2 linked regions of the Ovis aries genome follow. The protein of the gene in region 1 binds, or shares a complex with, the protein of each later gene. Links are inferred from orthologs where the notes say so. Each region holds a gene or a part of one and is shown on either strand. Other genes may lie near its edges.

What was found.
Region 2: the proteins of PEAK3 (region 1) and YWHAB are in contact, whole or in part, in a cryo-EM structure (PDB 8DP5), measured with the Homo sapiens proteins. The link is inferred for Ovis aries from reciprocal best matches to the Homo sapiens genes PEAK3 and YWHAB. Residues at the interface, in NP_940934.1 of Homo sapiens: Arg66, Thr67, Gln68, Ser69, Leu70, Pro71, Thr72, Arg73; in NP_003395.1 of Homo sapiens: Val48, Lys51, Asn52, Arg58, Lys122, Arg129, Tyr130, Gly171, Leu174, Asn175, Val178, Glu182, Ile219, Leu222, Asn226, Leu229, Trp230.

What each region holds. Positions count from the first base shown.
Region 1 is NC_056058.1:19,073,347-19,077,212, reverse strand, and holds the end of PEAK3 (protein PEAK3), read right to left. Parts: intron 2,011-3,866; coding exon 1,231-2,010; 3' UTR 502-1,230; downstream 1-501.
Region 2 is NC_056066.1:73,240,623-73,244,592, reverse strand, and holds the start of YWHAB (14-3-3 protein beta/alpha), read right to left. Parts: upstream 2,802-3,970; 5' UTR 2,620-2,801; intron 1-2,619. UniProt on the Homo sapiens protein: Adapter protein implicated in the regulation of a large spectrum of both general and specialized signaling pathways. Binds to a large number of partners, usually by recognition of a phosphoserine or phosphothreonine motif.

The DNA.
Region 1 (3,866 bases):
TATATCAGCATAATAATGGGTAAGGTCTGGAGGCTAGATAGCGCCTACATAGAAAGGTGATGTGGCAGGAGAGGGCCGGACAGCATGCAGAGCCTCTAGATGAACCCCTTGTGTTTTGAAGGTACTAGGGAGCCATGGGGGAGGTTTGAGCAGGAGAGGGACGGAGTCATACCTGGGGGTTAGAAAGTTCCCCCCAGCATCGCCATGGCTGGTGAAGGGGCATGACTGGAGATCCCAGACAAGGGCATTGACACCCCTCAGGGCTCCTGTATCTACTTTTCAGAGGTATAAACAGACTTCCTCCTCATCCTCTCCCTCAGGTTCCTGATGAGTCTGTAAACAACTTTGTTTATTCTATCATTCTGTGCTATTAAACACTTGCTGTGTGTTAAGTATGGGCAGGGCCTCAGAACTCAACCTGATGGGTGAGATGAACAGGTGACAAAGAGATAAACAAATGCAGGTGGTTCAAGTGCTTTGGTGGGAAGCAGGGCCAGGAGCTGGAGAGGGCCCAGGAGGGTCAACTTTATTTGCTTAAAAGAGGTGAGATTCAGCAAGTCCGGCAGAGGAAACAGCCAGTGCAAAGACTTGGTGGCTGGACAGAATTTAGTGTCACAGAGGGGAGCAAGGAGGCCACAGTGGGTGGAGGGAGTTGGGGGGTGGGCATGGGAACCAGGGGAGCATGTGGGCAGGTGAGCTCAGACCCTGCTGGGGTGGGCTGGCTGTCTCAGGTTCCAGAAACCTCTCTCCCCATGGAAGCCCCCAGCAGTTCTTGACAAGTTGTTGACAGTTCACACCACCAGCCTCAGCGCAAGGGCAGGCTCCAGGGCCTTTGGGAGGAGTGTCCCCATTGCCATGGACACAGTGACCATGAGACCATAGTACCGCAAGGGCACCTGGTTTCTACTGGAAGGTGGTGGGAGGGGTTCCAATCACTGGGAGAGGCATGAACTGGCAGTGGTTGCACACCCGGATGGGCTGCTCTGAAAGCGTCTACGAGCACTGGCCATTAGGTTCCAGCCCTGGAAGGGGGCAACTGCATTCTTGGGGGTAGTAGGGGGGATTGGGCCTAATTTTCCAACTGCATTCTCTGCTGTCCTGTTGGTCCCTTCTGAAAAGGGGCATCCACCCTATGATGGATTCACTAGCCACCAGTTCCAGCCCTGGGAGGTTGAGGGGGGCCTGCCACTTGGAGGGGCCCTGGAACAGGTGCGTCACTCACGGGCAGGGTCAGTCCCACAGCAGACTGAGGGCGAGGTCCACTGAGGCTGCTGTGGCCTCCGTCAGGTATTCACAGCAGAGCCAGTCCTCCAGACCGGGTACCTCCCCACCCACGGCCCGCTCAGCCAGGTGCAGGACCAGCATGGTTCGGCGCACCCGCAGCCAGGACCCCAGTGGGGCTCCGTGGCTGCGCAGCTCTGGTCCAGGCCCCCAGAGCAGCGCCTGCAGTGCGCTGCGTGTCCGGGCCGCTGACGGCCACACACGGGTCAGCTGGGCCGCCAGGCGCTCCAGGCCTGTGGCCACGGGTGTGGCCAAGGGCACTCCCGGGCCAAGCAGCTCTCGGAACAGGCGGCCCAGCTGCCGTGCGTGGATGCCAGGGGTGCCGGGAGGCCGCGGGCGAACGTGTCCGAAGTCCGCCAGCAGCAGGCGTGGGGGCCCAGTGGCCATGCAGCCCCGAGGCGCCACCAGCAGTAGGTTCTCCAGCCGAAGCTCGGCCAGGGCCGCGCCCTGTGCCTCCAGGCGCTCTAGGGCGGCGCTCAGCTGCAGCAGTAGCAGGGCCACGGTCTTCGTGAACTCCTCCGGTGGCTGAGCACCTGCCTCCACAAGCCACTGGGCCACAGTGAGCTCTGGCACCTCAGCCACCAGCGCCACGCAGCCACTCCAGGGCGCCTCAGGCAGTGCACCCTCGGGCAACAGGCCACACAGCCCCTGGAGGTTGAAATGTGGGAGCAGAGAGACCTGTAGCTCCAGGCCCCAGGGGTGGGGCTCCTCAGCTCCTGGCTTGGGCACCTGTGGGACAGAGGGGGCCTTCAGAGCCTGACCACTGAGCCCCTCCACCCTGAAAACCAGCATAGCTTGCCTAGAGGCTCTACCTGTTCTGAAACCTTCCCACCCACCACAACTTGCCCCACTATCACTGATCACTCCAGAAGCAAGGTTCTTGTTAATTCAGATATTATTCACCAACATGATTTAAGGAAAACCACCTGGGAGGATGGTGCTATGGGTCCTCCCTGGTAGCTCAGATGGTAAAGAATCTGCCTGCAATGCGGGAGACTCAGGTTTGATACCTGGGTCAGGGAAGATTCCCTGGAGAATGGAATGGCTACCCACTCCAGTATTCTTGTCTGGAGATTCCCATGGACAGAGGAGCCTGGTGGGCTACAGTCCATGGGTTTTCAAAGAGTCAAACACGACTGAGTGACTAACACTAACAGTACACCAGGGAGGAGGTGTTTAAGGGTTAAAGTTTCCAGCCTGCCAAAGGGTGTCCATCATTTGTGCTTGCCACTTGGTAAGGAGGAAGATGACAGCAAAGGTGCTGGAGCACAGACCACAGTGTAATTCAAAATTTCCAGTAGCCATGTTTTAAAAAGTGAAAAGAAACAGGTGAAAGTAACTTTCTTTCTTCTCCCTCTTCTTTTTAATATTCACTAGTTTAATTTTTTAGATTCTACATATAATTGAAAACATACAGGATTTGTCTTTTGTTTCACTAAGTATAATACCCTCTTGTGGTATTGGAGAAGACTCTTGAGAGTCCCTTGGACAGCAAGATCAAACCAGTCAATCCTAAAGGAAATCAATCCTGAATATTCATTGAAAGGATTGATGCTGATGCTGAAGCTCCAATACCTTGGCCAACCTGATTCGAAGAACTGACTCATGAAAAAGACCCTGATGCTGGGAAAGATTAAAGGCAGGAGGAGAAGGAGACGACAGAGGATGAGATGGTTGGATGGCATCACTGACTTGGTGGATATGAGTGTGAGCAAGCTCCAGGAGTTGGTGACGAACAGGGAAGTCTGGCATGATGTAGTTCACGGATGGGGTCACAAAGAGTCAGACACAACTGAGCGACTGAACTGAACTGATAATACCCTCCAGGTTCATCTATGTTGCAAATGGCAAAATTATATTCTTTTTTATGGCAGATTAGTAGTTGTCCATTGTTTTATCTATTCCACATCTTCTGTTGATGGACAGTTAGGTTGCTTCCATGTCTTGGCTATTGTAAACAATGTTGCTGTGAACATTGGGGGCACATATATATTTTCTAATGAGTGTGTTTTTTTCAGGATTAGAGTTGTTGGATTATATGCAGTTCTATTTTTAGTTTTCTGAGGAACTTCTAAACTGTTTTCCACAGTGGCTACATCATTTTACATTCCCACCAGCAGTGTACAGGATTCTCTTTTCTCCACATCCTTGCCAACATTTGTTATCTGTGGTCTTTTTGATGATGGTCATTCTGACAGGTGTGAGGTGATACCTCCTTATGGTGTTGCTTTATATTTCTCTGATTAGTGATGTTGAGCATCTTTTCATTTGCTTGTTGACTGTCTGTATGTTTTCTTTGGAAAAATGTCTCTTCAGGTCTTCTGCCTAATTTTTTAATTAGCTTTTTTTTTTAATTGAGTTGTATGAGCTTGAAAATAACTTTCATAATCTATTTTATTTAATCCAACATACCCAGAATATTCTCATTCAACAGGTCATCAATGAAAAAAATATCAGTGAGATGTTTTTACACGATTGTTATTGATACTAAATCTTTGAGACCTGGTGTATATTTGGCACTCAGAGCACATCTCAGTCAGTACCAGCCCCATTTCAAGTGCTCAGAAGTCGCCCATGGCCAGCAG
Region 2 (3,970 bases), on another chromosome or scaffold:
TGACCCAGTGCTGCGTGTGTGTATGCCTCCAGGGAAATTATTTAACTTCTCTGTGCCTCAGTTTCCTCAACTAAAACGGGGCTAGCAGTACTTACCTGTCATAGGTTGTTATGAAGACTTAGTTAATACGTGTAGAGTGCTCAGAACAAAGCTTGGCACATATAAACAACAGCTATTATTACTATTACAGCTTGATACCACCTCATCAGTTGATGAATAAACATTGGATGGACTCTCTATGTGCCTATGCATTATAGCACATATGCATGTGTCTTATCTATATATATGTATACTCACAAATATAGTCAAATAACATTTATTAAACATCAGGTAGATTTCACACCCTTATTTTAATTACTGAGTTTGTCACAATAATACATCAAAGACTACTACCGTGTGCACTGACCAATGAGAAAATTGGTCCACAATGCAGTTCCATAATACCATACCAGTTTTTTTTTTTTTTAAAGCAACATGTATACAAAGTAACATTGGGTCTCATCAGAATGCAACCAAGGGGGGAAAAGCCCTTAACAGTGAACTCTGTGATTAAAACACAAAAGCTTATATTTAACAGTTTACAGTTTGTAAAAAGGTCTCTTGACAAACCTGGAGATAGAGAAACCAGGAACCAGAGATTAAGCAGAACACTGAAGATCCCACAACTAGAAAATGCTGCAAGGAAGGGTGGAATCGAATTTACCTGACTCCGAGTCCAGTGCTCCTCCTGCTTCACACCCACAGCCGGGCAAAATACACTTTTTGCAGCGGCCCAAATCTCCGGAGACTCTGCCTCAAGAACTAGCATTATGGGAATGTGCTCAGCCTGGCTCTCTGGAGGCTGCCTCCCCAATCTATAGAGCTCTGATTCTAAAATGGCTCCAACCTAACACAAGCACTGCCTGATGGGAAATGTACAGAAGATTATAGGGTAGGAGCCACACTCCTGGGACTGACAGGCCATAAATATTTGCTACTGATGAAGGAGGATATTCAACTTGGAAACCAGGTGTGTGGTCTAGGCCAAATCATCTCCTTTCTCTGAAGGATTTCATCTGTAAGACAGGTGAAGGGTTTCTTATCTCACTGAAAGGAGGTAACAGAGAAACAGTTCAGCAGTGGCTACTGGATTAGCTTTCCACCATGAAGATCACCTGGAAAATTCTAACTTGGGTCCAGCACAATGCCAGGTTTCATGCTCACCATGTGTGCTAAAAATGAGGGCTCAGGCAACTGACACATTCCTAAACAAGAAATGGAGTGCCCTGGAAGCAGTCAAGAAGGAAATGACCAAGAATCAAGAACACATATTAATACATAAATTTCTAACATGAAAAGGCAAAAAGCAGAGTACCCATGTGTCTAGTTCTGTAAGCTGCGTGTGTGTGTGGTTTCATATGAACAATTGAGATAGACTGAGAAATGCAGACAATTTTTCATATTCTTCCAAGTGCTTCATCTTTCTGTTCTGGCTCCCGTGGCCGCCTGATGTTCTATGTTCATAATAGAATCTTGCCAAATCCTCTCTCCCACACAGGGCAAGTAAAATCAGAACCTGATGCGATCTAGCCTTACTAAAGGGAAAAGCAGTGATGGCAAGGACAAGAGACAAAAATTTTACAGAAAGGTTGGCAACCTGTCTTACCAATACTGCCACCTTTCAAAGCCCCATTACACGCAGAGTTCTCCATTTGCAATAGACAAAGATGCACTCATTCTGTGCAGAAAAGGGTCTTAATTACTCCCACCCCTTCGCCACCACCAGGGAGGCCACCAGGCAAATTTCAGTCCTAAAGTCGCGTTAACACACAGTATGGGGAATTTGGGGCGAGGACACAATGACTCTGGCATTAAATGACGGTAAATGCCGTTGGGAAAATATTCCAATTCTGAGCCTCAGACATTTTATTTTTTTTCCTGGGGATCCGGCCTGACTCAGTAACCAGTTCCAGCAAATGCATTTTCTTGATACAAATCTCAACCCTGTGCCTCCTAGGGAATCTCGGGTCCTGCCAGGCTCCCAAACCAGCGAATGATGATGAAATGGCTTTACTGCAAAGTGGGAGGGGGGTTTTCCCTTTGCTCTCTCCCAAGGTTAAACCTGTTACCCATCCCGGGGGGCGGGGGGTGCGGGTAACGAACAGAGGAATTGGGCCTGAAAGCTCGCCTGCATTTGGTTACATTTTCATTTTTGAAAACCGGAAAGCGAGGAACGAGGGTGACCGAGCTGAAAGGGTACGATCTGGCCGCTCAAGGTGCAGGGAAAGGTCGCGCGGGGATCGAGGCTGGGTCGTGAGGAAGAGTCGGGAGTCCGCGACTCCTCGTCCGTTCCCGCCTGGTATGGGGAGCCGCACCCCGCCCGCCGGGCAGGGCCGCGGGCGGCGAGGGTGGCCCGGGCCTCTCCCAGAACGACGGGCCCGGCCCCGGAAACAGGGAGGGGCCGCGGTGAGGCAGAGCCCGCGCAGCGGGCGGCCTCGCGGGGCCGAGAAGGCCGCGCGCCGCCGCCCCCGAAGCCCACCCGGGAGGTCGCCCTCGCCGCCGCCGCCGCCGCTGCCAGTGATGGGGGAGCCGTGGGCTCGGGCCCCTGGGGGCCTCGGGCGGACCCCGCGCCGCACTCACCGTGGGAGGACTGCAGGGGGCAGAGAACCTTGCGAGCAGAGCTCCGGGCGCAGTGACCGCTTCCTCCCCAATCCCACTCCTCCGGCGGCGGCGGCGGCGGCTGCAGAGGCGGCGGCGGCAGCTACCCCGGCTCCGGAATCGGCGGCTGCGGCGGCTCCACTTCCGCTCCGGTCACCACTTCCGCTCCGGCTCGAGCCCCGCCCCTGCGCCGCCTCTTCATTGGGCGAGCGGGGCACGGGGTCGCCCCGGCCGCCCAAGAGGGGCGCCGCCCGAAAGAGGAGGGAGGAGAGCGGAGGGCAGGGGTGCCGCGGCCGGGGCGGGGCGCGGCGGGGGTCTGGCCCGGGAGCACGGAGGAGGCGGGCTTGGGCGGGGGGGTACGGAAATGGAGGGGGGAGCGGAAGAAGGAGGTGGGCGGAGTGCAGGCGGGGCTGAGAGGGCTCTAGAAAGGGGCTGTGTGGAAACTGGGGGCACTGGGCGAGGCTTGGGGCTTGGCGGGCCTGAGGCTTAGGCTCGGAGCTCGCCGGGGCCAGGCCCAGTGTCCGAGGTCGTTGGTTCCCACCCCTCCCCGAAAGGAGTCGTCACGGGATCGGAGGTGCAAGTCAGCCCCCTATTGCTGCGTGCTCTGGAAATACTAGATTTAGGGAAGGACTGCAATTGCTCATCCATAGAGTTTTCTTTAGTCCTCCCTTCCGTCCTTCAAGGTACGTCATTTTATGGACTGAGGAAACCGGGAATCAGACTGCCGATGATCGCTCAGTGGTGTCCGACTCTTTGCGACCCCACAGGCTATACATACAGCCCATGGAATTCTCCAGGCCAGAATACTGGAGTGGGTAGCCTTTCCCTTCTCCAGGGGATCTTCCTGACCCAGGAATAGGGTCTCCTGTATTGCAGGCAGATTCTTTACCAACTGAGCTATCAGGGATTCCCGAATACTCTCTACTCAAGATCTTAAAGGAAGTTTAACGAAAGGAACCAGGCCTTCTCTGCCTCCTACTCCTCATGACTGCTCTCACCCTTTATCAACATTAAGCACTTCCCAAGGCAGTTCTTCAAAATGCCTCACCTCTACTCCCCCCACCCCACCCCACCCCCATCATTCATTCTTTCAGCAAATACTTATTAAGCAGGCTTTATGTTGGATGTTGGAAACAAAGCAAGAACAAGGCAGAAGGGGCCCTGCTGTGTTGGAGTTTACAGGCTGGTAGGAGACAGAACAAAGTAAATAGTCCTTGTCATTTCTCCTTTAACTTTACTTAGGTTTTGATCAACTTCTAATGCATCGTCCTTCCCTCAGACCTGCTCCCATCAACTGCCAAAGTGATTGTTGAAAAACCCCGTTCTAACTGGT